4 linked regions of the Styela clava genome follow. The protein of the gene in region 3 purifies or fractionates together with the protein of the main gene of each other region. This does not show direct contact. Links are inferred from orthologs where the notes say so. Each region holds a gene or a part of one and is shown on either strand. Other genes may lie near its edges. The genes, in order: poly [ADP-ribose] polymerase 1-like, DNA repair protein complementing XP-C cells homolog, WD repeat-containing protein 76-like and T-complex protein 1 subunit beta-like.

Region 1 (7,497 bases), about 4.2 Mb from region 3:
CACTACGCTAAAAATGGATAACATGACATACTGGATAAAGCATTTTGAAGCGTGGCCTAAAAATCTTCCGATTTGCGTTCATGCTGAAAGGCAAACAATGGCTGCTGTATTATGGTTAGTGGAACTGTACACAAGGCCTGTGCATTTTTGTCATGTTGCTCGCGCAGAAGAAATACAGATGCTTCGCTTGGCTAAAGATCGTGGTTTACCCATTACTTGCGAGGCCGCACCACACCACTTATTCCTGACTGAGGATGACCTGGACACCATAGGTCATGGACGAGGTCGTGTTTGTCCATCACTCGGCACAAAAGCAGATCAGGATGCGTTATGGGAAAATTTGGACATTATTGACTGTTTCGCGACGGATCATGCTCCACATGCAGTTTCTGAAAAGGATAGACAGCAACCATTGCCACCACCTGGATTCCCTGGGCTTGAAACTATGCTACCGCTCCTGCTAAATGCAGTAAATGAAGGGCGATTAACCCTTGAAGACTTAATTTTAAGATTGCACACTAATCCAATGAAAATTTTTAACTTGGCTTCACAACCCAATACCTATGTTGAAGTAGACATGAATGAAGAATGGATCATACCATCTGAGATGCCGTTCACTAGATCTAAATGGACACCATTTGCTGGTATTAAAGTGAGAGGTGCCGTAAAGAGGGTTGTCTTACGTGGAGAGGTTGCATATATTGATGGTAAGGTCCTTTCACGTCCAGGTTCTGGCATGGATGTTAAAAAGACTACTCAACCACCCCCAGTGGTTTCAAATGTACCGAAAACTACAGCCTTGAAGGTTTCTGTTCCAGAAATGCCTTTTACTACTCAGCAAATTAGCCCCAGGCCCGGTACTTCTGAAGGGCAACTCGGATTACCACCTAAAGTACATAGAGTATCAGAACCACCTAGTGGCCTACCAATACCACATTTTGGACCAGTCGGTGATGCAGGTTCTGGTTTATTGATGACAAAGAGAATTGAAAGTGACAAAGGTATGACACCTCAAAATGCAAATGTGCTTAGGGGAGCTATATTGGGAAGTGGAGGAATATCGGGTAATTTGGAAGGTAAACTTCATCCTCAACATGGTTTGGTTGGTTCTGATGTATTGAAGGTTTCCCAATTCACCAAAGAACAACTTCACCATTTATTCAATGTGGCTCATGCTCTTCGTAACATGGTACAAAGAGAGAAATATCTCGGAAACATTCTAAGCGGACGAGTTATGGCATCTTTGTTTTACGAAGCCAGCACGAGAACAATGTGCTCTTTTCATGCTGCAATGCATCGCTTAGGTGGATCCGTTATTGCAATGAACAAAGCGTCATCATCTGTGTTAAAAGGTGAATCTTTAACCGATTCTGTGCAAGTCATGTCTGGTTATTCTGACATCATTGTGTTGCGCCATCCAGAACCAGGAGCTGTAGAAAGAGTTGCAAGGCACGTCAGAAAACCTGTCATCAGCGGGGGAGATGGAGTTGGAGAACACCCTACTCAAGCTTTGCTTGATGTCTTCACTATTCGAGAAGAACTTGGAACAGTCAATGGAATGACTATAACCATGGTTGGAGATTTGAAGAATGGTCGGACTGTTCATTCACTTGCTCGTTTGCTAACTTTGTATCGTGTCAGTCTTCGCTATATTTCTCCAGAATCATTGGAAATGCCTAAAGACACTTGCGACTACGTCACATCCAGAGGAATTCCACAACGTGTTTATTCGTCTCTTGAAGAAGCTTTGCCTGATACTGATGTTCTGTACATGACTAGGATTCAAAAAGAACGTTTTCAGTCGAACGAAGCATATGAAAAAGCAGTCGGAAAATTTGTGCTCACTCCACATTTGATGACAAAAGCTAAGCAAAACATGGTGGTCATGCACCCACTACCAAGACTTGGTGAGATCAAAGAATCTGTTGACAGTGATCCTAGAGCTGCTTACTTCCGCCAGGCCGAGTGTGGACTGTATATCAGAATGGCATTGTTGTGCATGGTTCTTGGAAAGTATTGATTGTAAATCTTTTGATAAACCTGACATTTTTATCATTGTGTCTCTTCCCTTGCTTTTTTCTGTAGATATTATGTCTTTTTGTTGCTAATGTTTGAATTTGTAAGATGAGTTGTGATAATCATTAAAAAGATTGATTGTGAACAAATTTGAAATCTAATGTAACCATTTTTTGATCAATCATACTCGAAGGCAGTCATGATAATGTCATATGATATTTCATCTTAGTTTGTGTTTCTTATGCGGAATTTTATAACTCTTCACTTTTTACATGGTTATGATCATTTTGACCTAGTTTGTGTATTTCTGCCATTTTCAAGTCTTCTGCAATGGAACAAAATAATTGCCATATTTTGACATTGATTTTCTGTGGAAATTACACAAGTGTTATATCTTTTTTAGTGTATACATTGTAACCGCTAATCTAAATGCGGTAGAGCATCCAAAAAGTTAACTATATGTATCTACTGAATGTCATAAATGGCAACAATAATTACCAAAACTGAAATTTGATTTAGGCTGTGGCCAAAAAATACATTCCAACCACAAAATATTAGTATCTGTTTTTGTAAAGACAAACTAAATGTGTGAACCCTTGAACTTTACTTCTTTTATTACGGCCTTTGTGTAAACAGTCTACCCTCGAATTTGAAATTTCATGACGACCAAAAATACTAAAACTGTGTGCCTAGTTCAAGTGTAATCATTAAATAAAGATAATTTGATAATATATCATCTCTGCGAATTTGTTCCCCAATCATATCATTACCATCCTTTACTCCCATTATTTCAAAATATTTACCTGAATGATAATTGGACGAAATCAAATCATCAACGGAAATAATGAAAGCAAATGCTGCCTCGCACCATATGGTACTTAATATTTCATTACATTATGTTTAAAAGTGTAATATTGCTTTTGCATCAAATAATGAATTGCCATGTCCAAAACTTTTCTCATATTTCAATTTTTTCCACCTGCCATGACCAAAATAGTGTCAGAAATTTCCATTTCAGTATGCTGCTTTGTGTTTAAATTTTTCTCCCAAGGGCAGGCAGCAAAACCGTAATGATTGTTTTGATTCAAGTAGTACATTATTGGTAGGATTAAAAGTAGAAAATGGTGATGCAACAAAATGTCAAATTTGTTATTAATTTCAATTGAAAGCACATGATATCCAAGCAAAAATCTGATTAGGATCTACCACCTGGCTGAGAAAAGCTGATAACATGACATGAAAACATTAGTGCAAATCACAAATTCTGGTCCTAGTCAGCCTTTGGATTAGTTTAGTATCCAATTGAATGGACTAAACTGGTATTATAGAAATTTTGTGTAAGAAAATTTTGTTTTTTGAACCATTTTTTTTGAATACTCATCAACATGATGGTGAAAATTAATGAGCCAATAAAAAAGTCTTAATATGTTACCCAAATGTGATATTATGTGAAATACCTTGTTTCATGACTTGACCAAATATTCGCATTTTGTAGTAGGGTATTGGTTTCTTATTATTGTGTGAATAATATTGAGACAATATATTGGTAATATCTTACCAATGAACGTGAAATAAGTTTGAATGTTTTGATATTACATGGAAAAGTTATCATTAGGTCCTATCTGACTCTTAATGTGAATCAACACAGGCCAATATTGCATTCATTACAAATAATTCTTCCACAATAGAGCTTTTGCAATATTTACAAATTTTCCACTGCTGCTATTGCTTCTGCCAATTTTTCTATGCTTGCCAACTGTGTGAATTTGTTATCAAATTTTTTTTCTGCATCTCTTGTCATTTCTTTGGTAGTTTCAAACCTCATCGATATGCGGGTGAGGACAAATAGCTGAAAGAAGTGTAGAACTAATGTACGCTTCATCATCGTTTTCTTGTAAGGCTGTATTTAGACTGCATAGTGCAAATGAATTCAAATTAGGAAAGCTTAAGTATGGCTATCTTTAAGGATGATGCTGTTCGCAAGTTCGATTTCAGAAATTTGGATACCGACTGTGTACTGTAGAGCTTGGTGCTCAATGCCACTTCATGTACATTCCCCGATGACTGAAATAATTTTGTGGCTTTTTCGTTTGGGAGTAGCCTATACAAATAGCGATTTTTTTCGATACAAATTTGAATCATCTACAGGGTATGTGCCACCTTTGCGCTAGTCGTCTCCATTTGCTCAAAATAGAAACTCTCTTCGAAACGAATCACGCATAGTATATACCGTAGGTCAGGATAGCTGACTGGAAAGACGAGATTCATATTTGTTATACTCTTCAGGTCCATGAATTAAAATCGAATCTCTAGTTAGACTACCTATCCCACGTCCAACGTTGATTTGAAGTGAGTGGCTTGCCGTAGCCTGCCATGTTATTGGGCGGTTTGTCATATTTCTTTTCCTCTGATAGATATGGAAATAATTCCGTTTGCGAAGCCGCATCACCTCTAGGTCGCCAGGGTATTTTTTGTTAAACGTTCGTTCAAGACTAGACGTTTCGGCCCACGCGTAAAGAATATTTTGAGAGCGCTTATTTGTAACATCATCTTAGGGTGAGTTGTCGCGAGGCGGGAATGTAAATAAGGCGCTTAACACGTGACCAGTGTGTCAACACGTGCCGACATCAGCCGGTTTGTGTTATTGTTTTGCATCTTCAAATTGCTGCATATGCAGAAATACCTAATACTGTAAAAGGAGTTTGTTTAGGCTGTGTTTTTGGTACTTGATATGGAAGTTAAACAAGATTACGACTATGCTGCTGAATATGCAAAAAGCAACAGATCACAGTGCAAAGGATGCAAAAGTTTGATAGCAAAAGATTCTCTCAGAATCGCGTTGATGGTTCAATCTCCCTTTTATGATGGAAGGGTAACTGTTTGTTTTCTGAATTGAATGTAAGAAAAAAGATTGTAACCTACCGAATTCGTTTATCTAATTACTAGCCTACATTGCTAATGAGGCGAAGTAGCCTACACATCCAGAATTAATACTGAATACCGGAATATTGTATTCTGGTATCGCTGTACTGCTGTATGACAAATTCTATCCGAGTAATACCAAATAACTGAATGAAGGAATTCAACAAACTATTACCCCTGTCATGCCAACTACAGGTCTTGGTCAATTCTTTGTTTTATCTTTAAAACATAATATTGACTGAATGTAATCAATGTAGGCTATCTAAAATACTTTATTGCAGTATTGGCTTGAATTTGAGGTTAATTTATTAAATTACATAAAAATTTTGTTTCAGCAACCCAATTGGTATCACTATTCGTGTTTCTTTGGAAAATGTCGTCCAACGAATACTGAAGAAATAAAAAATTTCAACAGTTTACGATTTCCCGATCAAGAAAAAATACAGGCTCAAATTGACGGTTTTGCTAGTGGTGCGAAAACTAGTAAAAAAGGACCAAAGGTACTTGAATTGCATGATTCAGAATGATACAATTCATGGAAAATTGGTAGCCGAAATTATGTTCGGGTTTATTATTGACTGACTATTGTACATATCGTCGTTGTGCCGTACCTCTTTGTCCTGTGTATTGTACTGAAGTTTTTTCGTATATTTCATGTCTGTTGTCCTACTATAATGAATCAGTCTTAGGTCAGTAAGGTCTCGAACATATATCCCGTCTCTGTTATATCCTTTAATTATTTTTGAGGCAAATAAGCAAACATGCGATACCTTTCCCCAGACTGGATTCCATGGCAGATGCACGCCCGAGGGCGCTAGCGCTCAACAAAAATGCACGCGAGCGAATTCAATTCTGCACGCCGAAAATTTGCAATTGCTCACCAATGTAAATCGGTTTAAATAGTTTTTAAATCAATAATCTAGTAATAGAAAGATGCCAAAAAATTACAACTTCACAATTGTCGACTAGTACTAGCTTGCAAGATTTGGCATGACCGAAAAATGCGAAGCAAAAAACCGTATCGTGTTGAATGAGAAAGATCGCCTCCTCACCGTCGCTGGCCAGTTATGGCTTTGATTCAGCGTATTTTTTTATACAATAATTTTACACGGATGTACTGAACAGTACCGGTATATAAAGTCGCACAAACACTCTCAAAATTAGTGACAATAATATAGAAATAATGTTTGGGGTCAAAGGTCAAACGTCCATTTTTGCTATGATTCAACATATTTTGTATCCAATACCGGTAATTTTACGCGGATGTATTGGAAGGTATCTTAGGTCGAAGTCAGTTTCACGCGGGCGCAGTTGTTTTGCACGCCGTGAGCTATAATTGCACGCCCGAAATTCGTATTTGCACGCGGGAATTTCTGATTGCACGCCCGATTTCTCCTTCAAAAAGGCCATGAAATCCAGACAGGACCTTTCCTACTGCTTTATATAATGAGAATAACAGCAATGAGAATAAAAGGCCTACAGTATATTGCAATTTATTTCTGACATTGGAGTATATTTGTTATCGCTGTTGTTTATTATTTCCATTTTACTTCTTATGTTATCAGATAATCTCAAAAACACTCAAGGATTTTGTGGTTCAGTATGCAACATCGAGTCGAAGTACTTGCCGAGGTTGTGATAATAAAATTGAAAAGGATGAAATTAGATTATCTCACAAGGAGAAACATCCAGAAAAACCGCAGGTTCCATATTTAAATATGTTGACAAGCTTAAATTTGTGCTATAATTAGTTAACCATTCAGTTGCTTGGCTGGAATTTCTCTTTATCTTGGAGCCACAGAAAAATGGCAAAATACTACCTGTTGTTCATGATACACAACAAATCAATTTACTATTTGTTTGAGGAAAGGAGGAAAATTTTCTACACAAGCGGAAATTTTATAAAATTTCACTTCGCCAAACTGTTTTTTCCTGATGTTTGATTATACATTTAGCAGATAATTAGTTTTGGGGTTGTTTAAATCAGTCCATCAACTTCCATGTATATTATTTTTAAAATATATTTTTTTTACCCAGCTGGGATTGGTAGATAGATGGCATCATGTTGGATGCTTTCTCAAAAAGAAAGATGACATGGGATGGCAGCAACATTTCACTGCAGAAATGTTAACAGGTTTTAATGGATTAGATGCTGAAGACAAAGCCAGCATTAGGAAATTATTAGCACCTAAGGAGAAACGATCTAAATCAAAAACAGATGCGAGCGCTGCCTCATCTGCCTCTGCTCCAGGTGAACAAAAAATCTGCTTCATAGTGGACAAAAAATTATGGCTTGTCATATTATTCGGGTCAATCTATGTTGGTTCCTTGTAAATAACTCAAATTCTCAGGATTAGTAATGCCTCCTATATTCAATTTTGAATGGAAAGATAGAGCCTATCTTTGAATATGGACAAATTCTTTATTGACAAGAAAGATATTTGTTATCAATTCCACAATTGCATAAAATATTTTTACAGATCCTGCTAAAGAGGAATTGAAAAAGAAAATGAAGAGTCAGTCAATATTGATGTGGAAGAACATTGACAAATTGAAAAA
Region 2 (7,529 bases), on a different chromosome or scaffold from region 3:
ATTCATAACTTGTTAAGCAAGACAATCTTGGATAAATATAATTGGCTAGTTACTTCTGAATCGCTGTAAGTAACATACTTTTTGTTTTGATACATTTTCTTTCTTAGTTTTACTTTCTTGGACTGCAGTTGTATCTTTCTTTGATTTTCTCAATTTTTTCGTTACTTCTTTCTTTGCTACAGCTGTCGATACTTCGGTAATTTTTTCTTCAACTTTGTTCAATTTACTTCTCCTTGTTTTTAAAGGAGCAGCATTTTCTTCATCGGAATCTTTTTTAGCTATTTTTCGTTTCCGAGCTTTAACAGGATTGACGGATTCTTCATTGTTAACTTTCACTCCCGCAGTGGATGATCGAGTAACTCGTCGTTTCTGCGGAGAATCATTCGCTCCATCGAGTTGAAGTATCACCTTGCTGTCCTTGTCCATTAAAAGCGGAATATCTTTAGTTTTATTTTTCTTTGATGCGTAAATTTTCGATTTGATCGCAGCAACGCTCTCCTGAAAAAGTATCAAGTAATATCATCAAGCACGGTTGTGATTTTTCTTATTTACAGTCATTTAATATTTTTCATTTTGAACTAATTAGGAGCCTCGAAATTCTTCATAAAATACTCACATCTCGTTTCTCTATTGGTGTTTTCAAAGGAAGAGGCTGTAATGATACCACTAGCCTTGTATTCAATCCCATGGCTCGCAATGCAAGGACAAAAACCTGAGAATAAAAAAACTTGTAAAGTATATCCATGGACATCTATGAAATAGGTGATAGTAACCTGAAAAACTATCTGAAATTTTACTCGCTTATGTGAGATTGCAACCAAATAACAGTATATCTTGGAAGTTGGAATTGAATATTCTTCCCCTCTTCAATTGAAAAGATAGAAATCAATGTGTTCTACCCTAAGCAATTCCATGTTTGTTTATGAATAATGGATATCTATGCAAAAGTCATAAAACTGAAGACTTACCAACACCCAATCCAACTTGAACTTGACTTTTTGTGCTTCCAGAGCTTTTTTCATCTTAGTCTCCAAGAATGGTAATCTGAGCATTCCAAAACCAAGAAGCTTTTCCACCCCATTTTCAGTCTCAAATATTTTTTGCATATCTTGTATAAACCTGAATTAAACACAGATAGTGAAGAAAAAAGAGAAAAAAAGAAGAAATAAGAGTTACATGCACTGGTACCCTGTGCAAAAGTAAATCTGAATTTACTCTCAGTCTAAATGCAATTTGGCGGCAGTGAGACACAAATTCAAATTTTAAAATTAAACATTGAACTTTCAACTCTATAAACTCAACTTAAAACTTTTGAAATGATAATATGGATGAAAAATGAAAAAAATGAACAGCTGAAAAGAATAGATTTTAGCATTACAAAACGATTCAAACCTTGTTAAGAACATTGCAGAGACATGTTTCGGCTTGACATCATGGTACTTCTTGGGAAGTAAAGAATATGTTCTTGATAGGAGTTCTTCATTGTTGCAAATTCGGTTAACACGCATTCCCATTGTTAAGAGACACATAAGATGAACCTATATTTTGATAATTTCAATGAGTCAGTAATCAGTAATGTTTTTTTTCACATACCGAAAATACGAAAGTATACAAAAGTAAGGTAAAATATAAAATAATGTGATGGGAGACGCGATAAACCAGTCACGGTTATCAAACAGCGTCATCTTTGAGGGAATCTCATAAAAAAACAAGTAAAGGAAGTGGAACAATATTTAATGACAGAAATCAGCCATGTCGGTACGATTAAGCAACCTGGTGTTTCCAGTGTCGTTCATGGTGATTCGAGAGAACAACTCCAGGCACCACTGGTGGGGTAACCGTGGTAACCGCAGTAGATGAAATGACAAACGAGCGGGGGCTAGTTTTTGTGTGCCGTATCACATTTGAGTAGACATTCCCAGGAAATATAAAAAAATAGGAACCACTCATATAAGAGGTTTACTAAATATAATCATATTTAGGCTATTCCCTGCTGTGTTATCCTGGTATCAAGAATTCAAATTATCCTGGAAAATTAGTTAAATTGAATGAAATTGAATTTTTAAAGATTGAGCTTCGTCAATCATCCTTTGTCTTTTGAATGATGGGACACTTTAGAAAATTTGTATTGAAATTCAGATCATCATACAAAAATACTTTTTCCATCAGAATGCATCATATTTTCTGAGCTGAAACCAAATTTGTTTACCTTATGCATAACAGTTTGCATTTCTTTGTCAATTCTCTTAGCTGCTTGCCTAATGCATGTTTCAACCATTTCTCGATCCCATTTTTCTCTTTTTAGTTTCTTCTTCACAGCATCTGGAACCAACTCAACCTATAATCAAAAACATATTCAATATCTATGCAAAATTAATTTGTATAATTTGACTGATACTCAATACTCAAAGTAGTTGTTCAAGAATTTGAGATTGAGGGACTATTTTAGGATTTATTATTGATTACTGCAAGGTGATAATATGAGAATATACAAATAAAACACAGGTACATCATATATATATATATATATAAAGTAGAAAAATTTTCATATTAAACATAATTTCTAGTAGGGCCTATACTAGATTACTCAAAGCAAAATTGAGAGCCTCCAACTGAGAGTGGAGAGAATAGTAGTAGAGTTAAAATCTATCTTTATTGATACTCTCAACACTGAAGGGGAAGGACCATATTATAGTGTAAATGACTGCAAGCAACCAATCTAGTGGCCAAAATAACTCAAAAGAAACAAGGACTAAAATACAAGACTAGATAAAACATTTGTATTCAAGATATCAAATAGTAATCACCTCCACATTTGCAGATGGAACAACATCTTTTTCTTCTTCTTCATATTTCTGAGATTCTTCAACTTCTTCCCATTCCTCATCACTACTTTCTGTTGTTGTATCAGGTGACATCTTTACAAAAGCTAACCTAAACTATTCACTATTCTTCTAAACATTTTAAATAAATGGAGCAATTTAATAAAAAGCCCAAAATATTTTCTTCACATTAAGCACTTCTACATGGAACTTCACATTTCAAAATTTACAAGATAATACGGGAAAAGAGACAGTATAAGTAGACTCCTCAAATAATGATACTTTCATTTCCAATAATACTTTATACCAGCGTTTCCCAATCCGAAGGAACTTTGTGCTGTGATTTTGGTCTAGTAAAACTGCTAATATTCTTACTCTAATGCTTATTTATACACACATAATACAAGCTAATGATTCATTACTGATTGAATAAATACAGTAGTTCCAAAATATGCGCGAAAAGAGGAATATAGCGAAAAAGGTTGGAAACCACTGCTTTATACAATTTTATAGTTCAAATTATAAATTGGGTGTTAATTGATGTGTTTTACTAATGTCTAATACCTATGGTAGGATCGTGACAAAATATAGTTCAAATAAAATCTATAACTACAAAACACATTTTGAGAGCTTGAGAAGGTATAATGGAATAAAATCTAAAAACACCCAATTCAGGTAAATATGTAACTATTCAACTCATATCAATGCTCCATAAAAATAAACTACAAAATTCACTGACAAGCGGGCCATTGAGGTAAGGCATTTTGGATCCTGCACGAATTTTTTCACATAAGGTTAAGCAACTACTAGTTTCGGTTCACAGCAAAGATGAAAAATTTTTGTTCTATTGTGCATAAAATGAAATTTTTTTACAGCTTTCATTAAAATCACAAGACAAAAGATGTCAATATTTTCAGTCTGATGTTATGCTGTTAATTACTTTTCTAAATTCTCTGGGAGAGGCAGTAGTCCTAACTCCCCTTGGATCGAACAACGTTCCACAAGCCCGAAATCCAACCGACCGCAACTTTTGAATAGAAGCAAGAATTCTCAAAGGATTTGACCCTTTTTTAGTGTGAGACTCAACAATATAGTAGAAAATCGGACAAGTTTCCGAAGAATATTTTTGAATAATCGACTCCAAACTATCATTTGGTTTCAATCTTTTAGCAGACGGCTCATTAGCATCTTGGCTTTTAGACATTTTTTGAGTTTCTATTGTTTCCTTGTAAAGTTTAATAATTTCAACTTCTTGCTCATCAGAATCAAGACACAAACTTTCCAATGTCATATTTTGCATGACTGGCACAAGTTTATTTTTAATATCAATTTGGGTAAGAGTTTTAGCCATTTGAATCACAAAATTAGTGTCGAATATGGGTCCAATATATGCTGGACCTAACATTACAATCGGTGGTTGTACATTTTCATCTGTGATTCCTCCATCTTTGCAAAAGCAGTCGGTGATATCTGGCATTGGAACATAGTACAATTTTTCATTCAAAACTTGACGATAATGACAAACTCTGCAATGAGCGACTCTTTGTATAAAATCCAATGATTTGTTAGCATGCGTGGCACCTTTTAAAATTCTAACTAAAAGAACAATGGAATTTTCATCCACATAAGATGAAAGTACAGATATTCCACGGTCCCATCTGCTCGCAGAACGAGCTACATTTGCTAAAATGAGCCTTACAGCAAGTTCTTTACCATATTCATGTTTCATTGCTTGCCCATGATAGATTCTTGGCACTCTTTCTGGACATTTATTATATAAAGTGCATAGGTCTGTTGAAACAATACATAATACGCCTCTGTGGCATATAGAGAAACAAGCAGCCTCAAGGTACCTTACACATGTTCCATATGCTTCTAGATATATCATGTTGTATCTTTTATTTGATTCGTGTAGTAAAGAATTCGGATTCCTACATACAATAGATACATTGTTTTCAAGAATGTTATTTTTCAGATTTTTTTCCAAACAATTTTTCATATAAATCTCGTCATGTAAATTGATTGTAACTGAAACATTTTTTCCGAAGTGTTTCGCCCAAATCATTCCTGACATTCCGAGACCTGGAACTGCATCAATACAAGACAAAGCCGTCATTCCAGCTCCTTGAAATTCTTCAATTATTTGTGATAATGCAAGTAAAGAGAATAGACGAGGAGTATGTAATCTTTTAGCAGTGTGCCATTGGTTTCCTAGCTTTGTGAGAAAGTCTTTTGTATATTTCGCAGAAATACCTAATTCAGATAGTGTACATTCAGTCATACCTAGATTTGAGTTGACTATTTTCGATACTACCTTATGATTATATGATTAAAAATCTGATTTAAAAATTGCGAAAGAAAATATTAACAGCTATCCCAAGTGTGGGAGATGGTAACATACTATTTCAGCAACTACGCATTTTTCTTTTTTTCCCATGCTGTTGGAGTATAAGTTTTTTGTGTAAAAGCGTGAATCGATTTCATCTCTTCTGCAATAATGTCATTGACCATCCTTTGCTGCTCAAGACGTGACTTTCCAACAAAGAGTTCCGATACAACAACAACGTTATAACTAGTTCCACACATATTGGGCGACAAATCGTCTATTTCAATATAAGTTGCCTGCAAACCTTTTTGCAATTTCTCTTTAATTATCTCACTTGAAGTCATGATTGCTGATGGCTAGATGCAAGTCACAATTGGGCGAATTAAAAATATAAACATATATAAAAACATGCGTTCATATAATCTAAAGACAATAATATAAGTGATGGATGAATGATTTAAGAGTGAATTTATATTTTTCACAAAGTGATGAAATATTTATGAATACTGGAATATGTGTGAATAATCTAATAATAATCCGAGTAGTGCGCTAGCAGTGAGGTCATGAAATATATTGCACTGTCTGAAATTACGACCCACGGGTCGGATCCTGCCCACTTGTGCCTGCTGAAATTAAAAATAGTTTCTATGAATATAAATTTTCTTATTATCAGCTACCGTACAGGTACAGCATACAGTAATTCCCCACATATTATATCTTAAGTCACTTACCGTACCAGGTTACAGTACTGCAGTACAATAATTTCATTCCCAAACGACATGAAACAGGGAAACGATAACCATCTACTCACTCTCTTGGTACTGTACAAGAAGTTGAGGTATAAATTAGGGTTTTGCATTTATCAAAAAACATCATACCGTACGGTACCGTAAAAGCGCCTAACTTCGGACAGTTCCTAACTTCGGACAAAATTTTTGAACGGCCATATCTTGGCTAAAACGCGCCGTATATTGCTAATTTCAATTATTATAGGTTGCGCTGTTATATCTACATCTATTCTCATCTTTTTTAATGTTGCATAATTATTTTTTTGGTAAAAAAACGGAAATTTTGCCGAAAATTGACTGCCCGGCATTCAACGGCGCAGAGCGTCGCTCCTACTGAAGCTATCATCGTCAAAATACCATCATTCGGTAGAGGGCGACAACAATGTATATAATTTATTTGAGTGATCGCAAGATGTCGTACGAGATTCAAATAAAATCTAAAATTCTGAATTATAAATTCCGTAAGAATATTAAGATTTCACGCAGCGTCAAAAATTACGTCAACCTCACGTAGATTATTTTTCGCTCACTTCCGACACGACGTCACACTGCGTCGCGGAAATGAATTTTGACGCCAGACACAACGGAGCCAATATGACAATTTCCGTTAAGATAAAGACGGCGTTCCAATGTAATATTTTTGTATTTTGTTCGGTCATGTATGAATATATGCCAAAATTACATTAATGAAAATACATGTCACACTTAATCGATGACGTTAAAATCGAACATATAAAACTATGATAATTCCAACGTCCATATGGCACAGTGCACTAACTTAACCATTATTTTATGATTAGTAGTCGAAATGACAGTTATTGAATACGGCCTGGCTGAATTTTTTTCACTCGAAATTAAAAATAAATTTAATCTCCAACAAATAAACGGGACCTACATGTTTACAAGATTAAGTTGAATTTTAAATTAAACTTTACAATCGGATTTACCGTGTGTTTGATATAAATTATCAATTATAAAGATAACCGCGCACGATAAAAAAAAAGCTATCCGTCGAGAATATTAATACTTCAAAGACTTCGATAGAAGCCTGTTAAAATACTTCATTGTGGATTGAAACGGTTTGCATCAGATATATTTACGTATGCATTTTCTGATTAAAATGACTAACGTGTTATTATACTCATCTGAAGTATCGCAAATAACGAACGAAAGATGTAAACATAGGACGACGGAAGTTTCAATTAATGCATTTTGGTCGTGACGTCAATGTTACGTTACGACGACGATCGAACGTCTTATCTTCACGCAACGACGTGATTACGCAATCCGCATCGGAAGCCTCTTTCTCTCTGTGCGTCGCGGTTACGCAGTGAAGAAAATGACTGTCCGAAGTTAGGGCAGTGAAGGATAACGGTCAGATGGCAAGAAATATCGATTATTTCAATAGTAAAAATAGTCCAATTGAACCGAAATTTGCAGGGAATGTAAATTACCGCACGAATGTTTTACCGAGCAATTTTGGCACCTTTTGGACAATAAATGGCCAAGTTATTGACGAAAATATAGTAATTTTGTCCGAAGTTAGGCGCTTTTACGGTAATCTATAACTGGCCCACTGAGAAAAGTGATTGC
Region 3 (7,745 bases):
GCCTCCTTTCTTTTTTAATATTCCTGCCCCTGTATACCAAGGAAAATATTATAGCAGACATAATGACCCTATAAGTGGACTATGTTTCAATCGAAATCCCCTCTTGAGTTCGCAGTGAATTGGATCTAACAGGGTATTGTATGTTAATGTGGGTTTCACTATCTGCCACAAATATAACACAAATATTCAATATAGTATTGGACAATTATGGTTATATCTGTGAAACTGAGATTTACATTCGAACTTCCAATGTATTTCTAATTTTGAGTATTTAGTTACTACTGTTAAACTGAACTTGATATCATTGTACAATGAAGTTCCATATCCAATTTGTATGCAATGTACACAATGGCACAATGGAAACAATAGTAATTATTTTAATTCATCCTTATGCAGTACAATATACCCAAAATATTAACAAATCATGTACCTGACAACAATATTTATTTAAATGAGTACATAATAAAAATAAAAAATTTTGGATGAGTTATGTTTGAGCAAATTTCTTTCGGCTCTAATGGAATTTGTTATTGTGAGCGATGAGGATGACGTCATCAAAAATTGCGTACTAATCGCGGTTCAGTTTTTGCATTAGTCATGAAGATTGCTGTACCGGTAGTCCACTGTTACAGATTGCATACTTGTACTACTTCATTTTAACCTTCGTGTCCAAATATCTTATTATTGAATGGTCGAGAGACAGAAGAGATGCATGGTTTGGGTAACGTCTTCTCACTCAGTGGCACACTCGGGTGTCGGAGCATCAAATTTCTGTTGGAGTACCGCAGTATTTTTGACTAGAATATTTTGGTCAACTACCAAATCGTTCAGGTATCGAGTCGTTTGACTACCAAGGTATCACTGTATTCGAGACCTTTTGCATAGAATAGAGGATGTTTGAGATGAAATTTAAAGCATACTTTGTTTTGTGGCAGATTTCTCTGTTTTAGTAATCTGTTTTTCTCTGATCATTGCATTTCGAATTTCCTTTGTTGATTCCACAATTGCTAATTTCTTCAACATTTCTTGCTTTGTTTCCATGATTCGATTTTTTCTCTTCATATACTTTTCCATCTAATAAAATACCTACTCAATTAATGGAAATTACATTTTTTATATTATGTACATATATGCCATTTGCTCTGAACAAGGCTCAGCACAAGTAGACACCGCGAAGTAAGGAGCTACTATAGTTTGGAAAGACCAAAATCATTTGAGCTCTGAATCACCTACAAATGAGATGGTGAGAATGGTATTTCAACCTGCGATGCTATTATAGTCAATTACAATGCTTTAACCTCTAGGCCACCGCACCACAAAATGGAAAAATGAGAATTTTCAAACTTAATCTCAAGAGCAACTTTATATATAGTACTTTTCAAGTTAGAAACAATAATTTGAATACATTCACAGATTTTCATTATGAATAGGGTCTGCTACAATATCAGATATTCTATGATGCATTTGTAAATCTTTTCGCCTTTGTAAAACTCAAATTCATCAATAGATAGTATTTATCTTCTACATTTGATAAATGAATATTCAAAATTTTTATTTCAGAACTCCTACCCTTGTATCTTCATCTTCATCACTGGTGTTAATTGAATCAGAAGAATCCGATAGAATATCTTCAATGTCCATTTCCATATTTTCCTTATTGCTCTCATTGGCAGATGTACCTAAGATATAGAAGTAACGAAGAGTTCAAATAGATTGTTTCTTGAATTGTGACTTGGTCTCTAACAGAGCTTAACAATGTTGCAGATACCATCAAGCTATCAGACCATTCATCATTTTAATACTTAGGAGGGTAATTGATATTTACAAAGATCAATAGACACTTAGACAGTAGTAAAGATTTTTTGAAAAAAATGTCAGCACTTCAACAGTTCGAACAATATTACCGTACTTTGGGCCTCATCTTGTGTATTCTGAAGGTTATTGAGTAGTATGACAGCAGACATTGTTTGCTTCAATATTTTTTACCAAAATGTTGATCAGTACTTGATATTTGTAAATATTAGTAGTGCAAGGTTTAAAAAAAAAAATAAATCAAAAGTTTAGACAATATTACTTATTTCTTCATCTTGTGAAAGTTCATCTAATCGTCTGACAGCAGATATTGATTGTTTTGGTATTCCTTTGCCAAACTGTGAATTATTTCCAATTGGTGTAACATCAATTGAACATTCGATAGTTGGTTTTTTCAGAGGTGTTTTCTGAATGAATCAAAATTTTGTGTTTATTTCATATTGAACACTAGAAATTACAAAACGTGAATATCTAGAAAGTTCAAAACATTAAAAGTCTTTTACATTCTTAAATAATTTGCTTTAAATAATCTAGAGAAAGGGTATTGAAAATATGAACGCAGAAATATTATATGATAAACATATATGTAATATTTTGAACCAGGGTTCAGGGAAAATGTTCCTGATGATTATTGAATGAAGCATACTTCAAAGGTTAATTATATTCCTCCTGTATTAGCATCCTATCAATGTGAGCATCAAACTCCTCATTACAGACCAGGACTAGTCTGATATGTTTTTACTGACGTTGGAGTCAGAATTTCAATATATTACTGATGATAATAAGATTCAAAACATTTACCGGTAACTGAAGATCAAAGTCAAAAAGTACCTAGTTGACATTTTCAAAAGCCATTAAAAAAGGGCTTGCATTGTTGCATATGCCAAGTTTTTGGTATCATAACTAGGTCTTATCCAGGTTCAGCACTAGAGTTAATATTTCCTTCAATATTTGGTCGAGGGACAAGACAAAATTTTTGTCTGAAGTCATTTTTTTTTAAAATGGCTCAAAGTCATTGTTTGGATTTGCATCCAAAATTGTTCGACTTCACAACTGTCTTACGCACACATACTTACATGTTTCGTAGTGTTACCAGTGAGTTCCAAACGCTTTGATCTTAGTCGCATTGTTGACATGTTGCCCGACGAACATCAAAACAATCTTACATAAGTTTAACTATGACCTACAAAAAATCAATAAACAATAGCAGCAAAAAAGTAAAAAATGTGTTACAAAAACTCAATTCTGGCTAAGAATGAATCTTATGATTTTCATTGAATATGAGTATCCTAGTTTGTAAAACCAAAATGATTAAGCACTTTGAATAAATAAATAAGAATTGAAATACAGTAATATTGATCACTTATAATAACATACACCTCATATTATGAGAATGTTGTATGTTAAAGTTAGATAGTAAAATTATAATAGGCATATATTGTTAAGTAAATGTTGTCCAATACATGTCATGTTTGAAAAAACCTACTCAAAACTAAATATAATTCCATGTATTCGAAAACCACTTCTTTTTTGTTATATAAAGGTATCGTTCTTGATCTAGATTTAAACAAACTGATGTAAAAAAAACTTTTCGAGTCTGTTTAAGAGCAGCCATTATGGTTTAATTTCAATTAAAACTTAGTTTTCTATGGAAATATTCCAAAATTATTTCCAATATTAATATTCCAATATTCATAATAGAAATAAAATGTTAGAACAATTACAGTAAGTTATAATATAGCAATGCCATCAAATATCATATAACATAGTTTGAATGAAAATGGAGGCCAAAAAATTTATTACCCTACTACTATCTCAATTATTAACTGAGAAATTTGAATAACACCTACCGGTATTACATTGGTAAAGACTAATATTTACAGTGCAGTAAATTTTGAGATAAACTCGTTTGGATTGATTTCTTAGTTTTTTTTCATGACGGATATTTATATTCCTTCCAATCAAGCAAGGCTCTGTACAAGAAGCCCCGGTGGGTGAGGAGGTATTATAGTTTGGAAGGACCAGAACAATATAGTACACTCTGGGTGAGATAGGATTCAATAAAATTGATTTTAGACTAAAAATTGATCGGCAAAGGCACAAATATATTTTTTCGAGAAAAATTTTTTTATACAATTTTTAAAATCAGGCATTTAATGCATTGATTTTGCAAAATTGCATGCATAAAATGCATATAAAATATCTGATTTATCTTGAACATCACTAAATGTACTACCTACTTTTTACCAAATAGTATCGCTTTCATTCATGTATCAAAAGTCAGGTACATAATCATGGTATTTGAGAGAAATTTTTCGTTGTTTTATAATTCAAACTCAAACACTACTAGAATATTCTAGGAATTGAGGAACAGAATGTTTTTATTGACATAATAACAAATGATAAATGTTTTATTGAGGTTACACATTTCTATTAACTTGGTAGAAGCATAATTTAGACTAGATATATGAAAATTTTAATGAGCATCCTTCAACTTGTATATCAAGTAAAAATAACAGTAATCAATCGTGGTTGTTGCATGTTGTGCTTGAAAACATTCTTTAAACAAAGACCAATATAAATTCTTTGAACTTTGAAGCCTATTTTTCATCGATAGTCACTCCGAGTACAATCACATTCACAACCCCATATAAATTTTCTTTTTCCATTGAAATTTATCATTTATTTTGTGCAAAATACAAGATCAATACTACAATCATCATCAACCGTGCCTTATATCTTCCATGTAATCAGCATGAGGAATCTCTGATACTGTTCGATCCTCTGTCAAATCCAGGCTTTCGTCTTTTTCACTACTTTGAAGTAAATCATCTCCCATGTCTTGAATATCTTCAGAAATGCTTTGTTCACTGTTGAAGTCATCTTCATATTGTTGATGACTTGAAGGTTCATCTGTTTTTTGTTTCTTGTTTGGCCAAACATCACTTGTTCTGCTGGATTCTGGACTCATAGCTGGAGTATCTGTGTAACCCTCAGGTAAATCACCTCTCCCCCGAGTACCATCTATATTTAAATCAATAGGATCCCTTTTTCTAGATTGTAAATCTAAATCATTATCATATCTCACATCCATACTATTGCTGCCATCGTGTGGTGCCATATTGGTTGGCATTAAATAGGCTGAAGGTAAACCGCCAGAATCATGATCAGCACCGGAGGTTCTCGCTGGTTCAGGATCAGACATAGGAATTGGTGAAGATGGTACTTGATGAAAAGATGGCTGCTTCATATAGAATTCTTCAGACGATGATCTTTTTTCAGGTGATTTTACTCTAGTAGGTAAAGAATTTGGTCTTATTTGATTACCGACCATTGTAATTGAGCTACACATTTCATATAATTTTTGAAACACACTCATGAAACCATCAAAAGTCACATTTGAAGAATATTTATTCCTGAATTCCTCAGCCACAAATTTTTCCAAAATAGAAGGATGAAAAAGTGGGCAAGCAAGACTGACAACTGATGTGACGTCTTTCTGGCTAATTAAACCCGAATGATCAGGATCAAAAGTATCAAATTTTGTTCTAAGAAACTGTATCTGATGATTGTCAAGTCCCTGTGGTGTCGATGATTTTTTCTCTTTTAAATTGTTCACCATTTGTGCTAGCAATGGTTCTCTATCCACGCTTGGTCCCAAATGTAAAACATCACGAACTTTATTTTCATCTGGGATTAAATCTTTTGAAATATTTGTCTCTGGTTCAAAGACTGCACTTGTGTAATCAAGATGAAAATATTCTAAAAATTGATTAATTATACCAATACATGCTTTTCCGTCATCGTTTAGTACAAATTTTTGAAGATTTGTATTTTTCAAAGGATTTGGAGTCTTATTTTGTTCTTGTGCCTCTAAAGCTAAAAATATACTTGCTCGTAATTCAGCTTTGATTTTACCAAGAACACCGTTTTTATCCAATGTTTGCACAAGTAAATCACGTAATTCAGTGTCTTCATCAGCTGCTGACATTATATATTTAAATGTATCCTTAAAATATAAAACTGAAATTTGAAAGAAAAAATCATATTTCTGTATTTATAATAAGAAATTCTTGGCTGATGAATTGGATATTTGAATATTTATATCAAATAAAGGTTAATAATGCCTTAAATATTGCGAAGACAGCTGAGGACCAGAGCTGTGATGCTTTGACAAAATAGAGCCAAATATACCATAAAACAGAGTGATCAGAAATTTTAAACAATGGCAGATCGTAACATGCTTGTCTCGATAATAATTTGAATCAATTGCGCTTTTTGCCAAAAACTCTCGAATGCTACTGTAAAATTTTTTCCCTTGGGGAATTGGAGTATTTTTTACAAGGAATCCAGTAGTTACATTTTTAGATTGAGCTTCCTTTTAGTTTATTGCGCAATGCCGCTTTGCCGATATGGAGACTGGCTTGTATAGGAGGGCGTTGTATTCACTGCTATAATCAGATAATTTATGTCTTTTAATGTGGGGGTTATTCCTGACAGGCGGCAAACAATTTGCTCGATGTTGAATGAGTACAGTGTGCTATACTGTATCGAAGAAATCACAGAATCAAGTGGACATTTCTAAATTTAACAGTAAATGGTAGACTACTATGATAGACTAATTTGATTGATTAATAATTGCTAAACTGTTTTAGGTTTCCTAGTTTGGTTTACCTGTTTACCGACAACTTGAATACCAGAATATTGGATTAAGTGCAGAAGCTTGGAAGTGTGCAAGACAGACAGACAGATATCATAAGGGTGATTAAAGCACCTTTGTGTGTATGCTATGTCTGTACACATATAATGAGCACCTTTTCAAACAATATCCGAGGTGAGCGTAAATTACAGAATTCTGGAATTAGGCACTACAGCACTGGTCAGCTGGTAGTTTAGTTACAGAGTTACATAAAATATAAATACTGAAATAGGTCTAGCCTACCGACAGAAAGATAAATGAATGAAACAAATTAATAATTCGGATGGTAAAATATGAATCATTGAGAAAATCCTGTTATACATTATAGACTATTTTTTATTTTTTTAAGGTTTCACATTGTGGATTCAAAACAGTTTTATAAAAATAAATAAATGATGAAAAATTATAGTCACGTATAATATAATAAACAAGTAGGCTAGTCTATATTCATAAACATCATATAGTAGTTAGTACCGGTAATTCATATCTGTATATTGTTCCATTCAGCCATTGTTGATTCCAGATAAAGTTCACCATGTTTAACAGTAAATAAACATTATTTTACATGTTTTTTAATTATTGTTAGCAGGAAAAGAAAAATTTATACAATTATTCATAGGTTCTTGCAGATTATGATAAGTTCATAATCTTATATAGTCTAACTAGGTTTTTGTCTAAATTGTTCCATATTTCTCCTTACTGAAATGGATTTTCTAATTCTTGCTATGACATTATTTACACTTGGATTAACATTAACATCCTGTTATACTTAACTATATATTCCAGAAATAAATTTATTGCTGTAATCTAATGATAATCCAAAACAAATCCATACCATAAACCTGTAAACCAAAAAGTTGAATGCAGTGAAGTGCTGAGATCAGAAAAATGGCGGGATTTCAATCAAATGTGAACAACCGTAATTGTGGTGCACAGAGTCCGATTTTGTTCACCCGCAATAACCATTGCGAATAATTCTATACTAGACATTTATTTTTCAACATTGATGTGTTCATTTTAAATATTCATTTATTCTTTTTCAATTTATTATCCTAGTATTTACTATATACAGATGCAAATAAAGTTTTAAATATTGATTTACCTTGAGAAAATATCGCAAGACTCATTACACATATTTTGAAACAGTCATATACATATCTGGAGGCTGGAGCAGATGACATGTTGCATTCATTTAGGCATAGACTGGCTGATTGGCCTGAATGTAAGAAAGGTT
Region 4 (7,856 bases), on a different chromosome or scaffold from region 3:
GAAAATCCCTGGCCACACCCTTAAATCAGACATCTTAATGTTGGTCCTGAGTTCCTTGCAGATCTGGCAATTCTGTGCTGCCTTCAATGCTGAACAGAGTACTGAAGGCATATACAAATAGCACAATCGAACACCTTGCTTGGCCTCTCACAGATGAGTGACCCCTACTACAATAGCACTTACTCTTAATAACTCAGAAGCAAGCACAGTAACTGACGTTGTTCCATCTCCTACTTCATCATCTTGAACTTTGGACATATCTGGGAATTAGAAAATTAAATTTTTTTATTTAAATGATGAAGCAATAGCAATTAAGTTCGTTTCGACGCAATGAAGGTTTAGGAGCAGTGCTATCAATCACACTAAAACCTTATGTACAAACTGCTGATTTATAGCATAATCCTTGTTTGAAGATCGAGAGGTGTTAAATTTAATGCAAAGATTGAAATCTAGAATATAATTTGCATATGCTCGGTATCAAAACCTATAGTAGAGCCACTCAGCTCAAACAGAGTAGCTGAATCGAATTATTGAAAACGCGCCGTTGCATATCTGATTATCGTTATGCGAGATCAGATTCCACGTTGTAAGAGATATTTATTTGAGAGGGTTCTTGGACTCCTTACATTCGTATGGTGGTTCAATGACAACCGATCAATTACAGCTTCCATCACCATAAAGTCAATTACTGTGAGTCAAACAATAATATACTCGTATTCCATACCCGGCACGGACTGGTAAACAAACAAGAATATCGGTCGGAGACCGAAGACTTATCGATCGAAACTGCGATTTCGATTCATGACTATAGTGACACCGCGTGTCCCATCACTAATTAATTATTAACTCGCTAATTATACGACATAATTCATCCAAAATTAATAGGCTTCTGGTCCGAGATATGATGAATGCACATGCAAAATTTGGAGCAGATTCAACCACGCCTTCGTGAAATATCGCGTGCATCTAACAGACAAACAGACAGACAAATACTTATCAACATACTTACTTAAGTAATGAGAGGCTGAGTTTTATTGTATAATGAGATAACCGAACATGGCGATATTTCTATGTGCAGGTTCTTAGGTTTGATTCTTTTGTGGATGTTCATGTAAGAGGGGACACTATACTGAACAAGGTAGCAGGAAAATAGGTTGCCAGGTAATTAATAGGCAGTTTTATCGGCTTTGGCTATCCCCAGTATAAATACAAAAATCCATCCGAACTTACCAACTAAGACTTTAGCAGCAGGATTATCAACTCCGACAGCTTTCAATATTGTTGCTCCATCGTTTGTAACAGTGATGCCAGGTTCCAATCCTTCACGTCCAGCGCTCATCAATATTTTATCCATTCCCTTTGGACCTAGCGTTGATTTCACGAGATCACCGATAGCAATTGCTCCAACAAATGAAGACTAAAAATTTAAATATGATTGCTGATTTTGAAAAATTCTCTCAAATCGAGGTGGATTCACACAGAAGTAAACAATACTCAACTTCGAGCAAAAATATGAATGGCAACTGAAATACCATGGGTAACCGAAACCACAAAGTAAGAAAGACGAGCCATTTCTTTGAAAAGAATTTGCTCAAATCAAGGTCACACTCACTCATACAGAATTAAAAGAAACTCATCTATGATTGAAGTTATGGTCGTTATGAAGTTACTGAATTGCCAAGAGCTAGCGAAACTATGGATTTATGGCTCATAAGTAAAGGAGACTCATCTTTGAGTCAAATTAAGAGCGACCGGCGAAATACTAAAAGTTACTGAAAGATTCATGATGGTGTATTCCAAGCCTGAGACTTGAAGCAGTTTCAAAATAACCAAGAAATACCATTGAGATAGACAGTTCCAACAAATGAAGACTAAAAATTTAAAGATGATCGCTGATTCCATAATTTAAGATTCAAATTAAGAGCGACTGTTGAAATACCGAAAGTTACTGAAACTATATCAGAATATAGATTCATGATGGTGCATTACATGAGCGAGCAGTTTCAAAATGATCAAGAAACAGACCTGAGGTAGAAAATTTTACTTAACTGAAGCTCGTGGGATAAAACCTTAAATTAATTTGGCTTAGACAAATTATGAAAAAATTCCTACCATAAAGGAAAATTGATTCAAAAATAATATTTGAAACTGCATATAACTGAATATTTCTTATACTCACCAATCTTGCGGTTTCTGCCTTTTCTTCATCTGCTCCAGCATTATAAATTGAGATTGGGCTTAAGGACATCTGAAACAGTAAAAATGAATTGGGTCATGCAAGGTAGAATACATGAATACAATTTTCCATATATATCTAACGTCTCATTACGTAATTTTGGGCGTTTGCGTAATATTAAAGGTGTGGTCCACTTTAGCAATTTTATTGTCAATCCAGTACGGCACACTACAAATCGGGTGACATTGTCCCGTTTCAGAGAAACCCATTTACAAATGATTAGACACCCCTCTTTTGGGAGACGTCAGGACATTGTTGTCCCTCAATATCGGTAATAATACAGTATAATGAAGTTGCGCAAAATACTACAAAGAAGCGCAATCTAATAACTAACTCATCATTGAATTCCTTGGGGAAAAAATAATCCGATTTACCGAAAGAAAAAATATTTTACCGTAGCATTCGAGATTTTTTAGTTAAAAACGGCAATTTTGATCATGTGACGACCGCGATTAATTTAGATTATTATTGAGACAAGCATGGTGTGATATGACGCATCTGACGTGGTCCCAGGTGCCCCTCGTTTGTGAGACACATAGAGTGTTTGTTTTATTGAGCCAAATGGAGGGAAATTCCTGGAATTTGGATAGTGTGCTGTACTGTAATCAGACTTATCTGATGACCGATAGGTAGTAATGTCATTACAACTATTTTTCAAATTCAATGATTCCGTGTCCAGGTATTACAGTATTATTAGTATCTACGTACTCACCATTTTGAAAGATATTTGTTTGAGATCACAGTTTGTAAATAAATTAGATTATGAATCTAAAAATGAAGACATAAATATGGAAATACATGATATATCGAAATTTTATAGAATACTTTCTCTAAAAAATAAAATTGAATACTATCTTAAGAGGATAAAAATATAGCTGTTTAAAAACAGCCAGTCAAATACAGAAATGTTTTAAATGAGATGGTGCTAAATTTGAGAAGCTCTGATAGAAAATATAAAACAGTAGTACAGTCTGACAGTCGTACAGTAGTAGGAAAGAGTTAATTTTATGCATCTTGCAAAACAAAACATATGTTACCGATATTGTTTCAAATGCATGAACTATCGTGTATCGGTACTACCGTAACTACACAACTAACAGAGTCAAAAAGTAAAAGTCTGGCGAATGGATTGCAGAATTAGGTGCGCCATATACAGGGTGTCCAAAAGTTAGTATACACTTTTAATTTGCTCTTCAGGTACTCATAATAGCGCATTCATTTTTTAAGGAAACATGGTAATGGTATGGATCAGTCTGTAAGTAGTAAAATTTATGTATTCGGTATTGTTTGCATTTTTGTATGTATGTATGTATGTTTATTAGTCTCGTAGTAGTAAGCAGTATAAAAAATTGACAATATTAATATTGGAGACGCAACGCATGCACAAGACCGTACTGGCCTAAAACACAAATGTGCGACATGCGCTCCTTTTCATCAACCAGTCACCCCACAGAATGACAAGGAGATTAACCCAAGAAATGAGATGCAAAATTGCTGTTAGCAAGAAGCATATAAATCAGTAAGGCAAACTCAGCGCCTCTTTAACAGAGAATTTGGAACCTCAATCTCCAAATGCAGAAATGCATCAACCAACGGAACTTACAATAGTTAGCACAGGTATCGTATAGCTAGAAACAAAACAGTCCTGGTATGTAACCTAATAAGCTTTAAAATTTCAACAACCAACAAACACAACTTGTATACACCAGACTAGCCTGTGAAAAACAAAAACAGAAGGTCGTTCGAAAACGCCCAACCGCCATTACAGCGTTACGGTTACTAAGATCGCCAGTCGAGAACATTCGGCGAGGGGCCCATGCGTCGATGAGAAAGAAGTGACCGGAGCATTTGTTCAAATAATAAAACTCGGAAGCTAAATTCTCAAAAATTATCATAGTGATAGCTACTATGAATATTGTAACTCCTTAAATACTAGAATTATTAATTTTAAAATACCTAATTTAAAAATATTACGTTGAAAGTATATTTCAAAATTTGCTCATACACTCGAGTATGCATAAACAGACTCCTAACAACTATATTATATACTCCAGTTCCTATTTCAAGCGGTTTTATAACGACTGGTCATTGAAAGTTTCACCCGGTTTCACAGCGCTTCTTCCCAATTTTTATTTTTAACAAAACGCAGAAATATTTGCGCAGCGTATGAACAGTATAATTAAGATTCAAATTGTGTAATACGAGAATGCGATACCATAATAATAATAATGCAACGTCAGACACCTTAATTTTCCATGCTTTCAGATGCTGGCTCGGCGATATGGCGCATCGTGGTGAGCGTGAGAAACACGCTGGCCATCGCGCCCCTGATTACCAAAAGTGGGCTCGCATCTTATAGGAAAATAATTATGTGCGATTGCTGGACTACTCGCCGCTGCAGTGTGGTTCTCGTAACCGCTGGCCCGATACGACTTCCTAAACCATCAAGTCCTTGCATCTACACTAATTCCACACCCAATCGGACGAGACGCCGTAGCTTGTCATATGATTAAACCGTATGGATATATTTTAATTGGAGTGTGTGCAAAAGAGGGAATATATCAGTCCAAACAATTGAGATGAACTAGGGTTACAATAGACCATGGACCTGAACCACGCTTCGACGGAGATCGTGTGCCAAGCAATCTTCTCGTACATAATTATCCAACACAGCAGGCGAACCCAAGCGGAGTAATCAGAGGGATAGGATTTACATATTTGTTCAGGGGAAAGAAATGCCGAAAAGACAGTTTAATTATATGGCAAACCACGGCATCTCGTCCGGTTACCAGTCCATTTCGGATATGGGATTAGTTAGCCAGTTATTTGTTTTCGGAAACACGGACAGCATTATGCTATGCGATTTTTCACAACGATAACAACAATCAATCCAATCCCACCGATGAAAATAACAATAATTTGTAGAAAAGAAAAATTAACCACGGATTCGCTTCGTATAATAGGCATGCAGTCTAGAGCAGTGGTTCCCGAACCGCGGCCACGGGCCAATTACGGCCCGCATAACGGTCAATATCGCTCGCCAAACTTTATGATTCAACACTTTATGATTTTTTTGCGTTTTAGATACCGCCAAATGTTACGTCATTGTCACAGTTCGATCAGTAGTATAATCGAAACAATTCAATTATACCGGTATCGTAAATATTTTTATCGGAACCGGTATCATCACCTTGAGGGCGCTCCCCTCTCCTGACCCGCGAATATCCTTTCGCTTCCAATTTTGGTCACCGGTTAATCAATCGGGAGTAGGGGTGCTTATTGGCCCTAATTGCTTTGTTGCTATCTGAATGGTAGGGTATCCTCAGAGCGTCGATCGAAAGATTAACTGCATGACGTTAGAATTCAACGTTTTTAAAAAGTCCTGGAGCCCAAATTTCGGACTGAAACTAGTGGATGCAACTAATTTGAAATTTCGAACTGAAACTAGTAACAGTTGTGCCGATGCCACAGTTTTGATGGTGCCAATTCAATTTTGTTACCAATTTTGTTCTGTCGGGAGCCAAAGTTGATGTTGAATATTTCTGATTCAAATTTGTAAGATGGAATGAGAATTTCGTTACAACTGTTGCAAGGAGGCATGTACTTCGATTTCGACTCTTTTCTTTGACGTCTCTTCTTCCCAAGAGATACCCTCTCTTGATTAAAATTTAGGTATACGTGAAAGCAGTCAGTTTGATGAAATACAGTGACGTCAGAATCAATAAATTTCAATGAACATATGACGTCATAGGCAATACGACGAGTTCGCGATTGACGGCGATACACTGTGATGTGTTAACGGTATTCACGCCATATTAAGTTAACTTGTCCTAGTACAACTCAGTCACAGTGTACATAAGGTATAGAAGTAGGTCACGCAGAGGTAAAGCACTGGAATTTCAAGATCAAATCTATGCCAAAGTAGATATAAAGCTTCAATCAGGTTGGGATTTTCATACTTGTCCCGGGGAAAAAAGAAAGGCCTACAAGATGGCTTACGCGTGTGTCTCACACGTTCTCAAAGTGATCCATAAATAGTACCAGGGCTCCGCGGGATAAACCCAGGGCTCCGCGAGATATTCGTTTACCTGTAACTGTCCAAAGAAGCTATAAATACGTCCGAGTCATTAAATAACGTAGGCCTAAGTTTAATATACACAAAAACATTCATCGGTAAGTAACAATGTTTTTTTTAAAATTTATTGCGGTGTAAATGATACTCACCTCTTCACGGGCTCCAGAATACCAAAAGTCCGGGTCTCGCACGGGTTTAGTTGGCAAGCTATTTGTTTCAGATGCATGGACTTAATGATGGGGAGGCAGTAACCGGCCAGCGGGTAACTTCAGGCAAATGGTTTGAGACTAAGCATGTAACGTGGAAATCAGAAAATTAATAAGTCACTCCAAAGATTTTCTCGCAAATGGCGCAAACCGACTCACACTATATTGTGAATTCAACAAAATTTATAGTTATGTAATATCAAGCATGAACGACATTAAATTTATTTTATTAAACATGTAATATCTTGAGCCATGTTTGCTCATGCATGCTTCAATTCCCTGCTACATTATACCCGACTTCCTTTATTACGTGTTGTAATTTCCTTTTAGACGTCTTCATGGTAAACGAGTTCGTGGATATTGCGTGAAAATATTGTTAAATTTGACTTCCATTCTGTCGTTAATGAGGTCATTACACCTAAAATGTGTACTTTGAGTTCGCCTTCAACAAATCATAATGATGGGAAGAACATCGATTACGTACGTTATTACAATCCGCTTGTATTAAATTTCGATGGAGTAAACAACTACAATAACGTAAAAATTGTCACACTTTTTTTGCAGCGTTGACTGCTACTTTAGATCGTACAGCCTTTGAGCTGAGAACTGACTAGTTTCTGAGATTGGTAGCGTAATTTGTGATCTTGCATGTATGTATTCGCAAACGGTAGAGTAGGGCCTAACAATTTTCACACAATTTTGCAGAGCGTACTGCTACTTCAGATTACAGCCACTGAGCTGAGAACTGACTACTTTCTGATATTGATCGCGTAATTTGTGCTACAGTCGGTATCTTGTACTCGCATTCATGTATCCGCAAACGCTTAGGTTGGGCGTAAAAAGGATAAAATAATTAGTTAGGTGTTCCTCTCATTGGTCAACCAGAAGAAAGCGTCGTAATTGTTTTATTTAGAAGACGTTTGAAACTTCAGATCGAAATTGTAAATTTTGTGATTATATCAATGAATTCGACTCCTTTTGCAAAAAATCGACCGAAGGCAGGTGTTTTTGTATCATTACTGCGAATAATTCCTCATCGAAGTAGAGGGCAAAGCGTCAATTTTATTGAGTGAAATATTGTACAGGTATTGTTTTTATCCAATGTTTGTTTAAAATTGTATCTGAGGCATTTTTTTTTTGGTGAATAGCTATGATAAACAATGTGTATTGAAGCGCAGGAAGATTCGCGAGCATTGATGTCAAATATAGTGTTTGTTATGTTTGATTTATTTATCTAAATTAATTATGTTGTCATAAATATGTAAACAATACCGTGGAAATAAACAAACAAAAACAATCAGAGAAGATGACAGTTTATCAATGATATAAAATAGTATTA

The links.
Region 1: the proteins of WD repeat-containing protein 76-like (region 3) and poly [ADP-ribose] polymerase 1-like purify together in Homo sapiens (affinity purification with mass spectrometry; 4 studies listed by BioGRID and IntAct, with this or other methods). This does not show direct contact. The link is inferred for Styela clava from reciprocal best matches to the Homo sapiens genes WDR76 and PARP1.
Region 2: the proteins of WD repeat-containing protein 76-like (region 3) and DNA repair protein complementing XP-C cells homolog purify together in Homo sapiens (affinity purification with mass spectrometry; 3 studies listed by BioGRID and IntAct, with this or other methods). This does not show direct contact. The link is inferred for Styela clava from reciprocal best matches to the Homo sapiens genes WDR76 and XPC.
Region 4: the proteins of WD repeat-containing protein 76-like (region 3) and T-complex protein 1 subunit beta-like purify together in Homo sapiens (affinity purification with mass spectrometry; 4 studies listed by BioGRID and IntAct, with this or other methods). This does not show direct contact. The link is inferred for Styela clava from reciprocal best matches to the Homo sapiens genes WDR76 and CCT2.

The regions. Positions count from the first base shown.
Region 1 is NC_135251.1:21,237,554-21,245,050, reverse strand, and holds the start of poly [ADP-ribose] polymerase 1-like, read left to right. Parts: upstream 1-4,496; 5' UTR 4,497-4,747; coding exon 4,748-4,888; intron 4,889-5,273; coding exon 5,274-5,438; intron 5,439-6,503; coding exon 6,504-6,641; intron 6,642-6,975; coding exon 6,976-7,189; intron 7,190-7,418; coding exon 7,419-7,497. Other genes in the region: multifunctional protein CAD-like, read left to right, coding at 1-2,020. UniProt on the Homo sapiens protein: Poly-ADP-ribosyltransferase that mediates poly-ADP-ribosylation of proteins and plays a key role in DNA repair.
Region 2 is NC_135258.1:14,477,880-14,485,408, reverse strand, and holds the start of DNA repair protein complementing XP-C cells homolog, read right to left. Parts: upstream 3,015-7,529; 5' UTR 2,919-3,014; coding exon 2,808-2,918; intron 2,339-2,807; coding exon 2,210-2,338; intron 1,539-2,209; coding exon 1,393-1,538; intron 1,120-1,392; coding exon 969-1,119; intron 713-968; coding exon 617-712; intron 499-616; coding exon 79-498; coding exon of another isoform or gene 77-78; intron 1-76. Other genes in the region: tRNA (guanine(27)-N(2))-dimethyltransferase-like, read right to left, coding at 3,736-5,103. UniProt on the Homo sapiens protein: Involved in global genome nucleotide excision repair (GG-NER) by acting as damage sensing and DNA-binding factor component of the XPC complex. Has only a low DNA repair activity by itself which is stimulated by RAD23B and RAD23A.
Region 3 is NC_135251.1:17,054,071-17,061,815, forward strand, and holds the start of WD repeat-containing protein 76-like, read right to left. Parts: upstream 3,015-7,745; 5' UTR 2,949-3,014; coding exon 2,889-2,948; intron 2,220-2,888; coding exon 2,075-2,219; intron 1,680-2,074; coding exon 1,570-1,679; intron 1,075-1,569; coding exon 921-1,074; intron 30-920; coding exon 1-29. Other genes in the region: uncharacterized protein LOC120336343, read right to left, coding at 4,535-5,803. UniProt on the Homo sapiens protein: Specifically binds 5-hydroxymethylcytosine (5hmC), suggesting that it acts as a specific reader of 5hmC.
Region 4 is NC_135255.1:22,610,279-22,618,134, forward strand, and holds the start of T-complex protein 1 subunit beta-like, read right to left. Parts: upstream 3,013-7,856; 5' UTR 2,952-3,012; coding exon 2,949-2,951; intron 2,249-2,948; coding exon 2,180-2,248; intron 1,418-2,179; coding exon 1,231-1,417; intron 261-1,230; coding exon 184-260; intron 1-183. UniProt on the Homo sapiens protein: Component of the chaperonin-containing T-complex (TRiC), a molecular chaperone complex that assists the folding of actin, tubulin and other proteins upon ATP hydrolysis.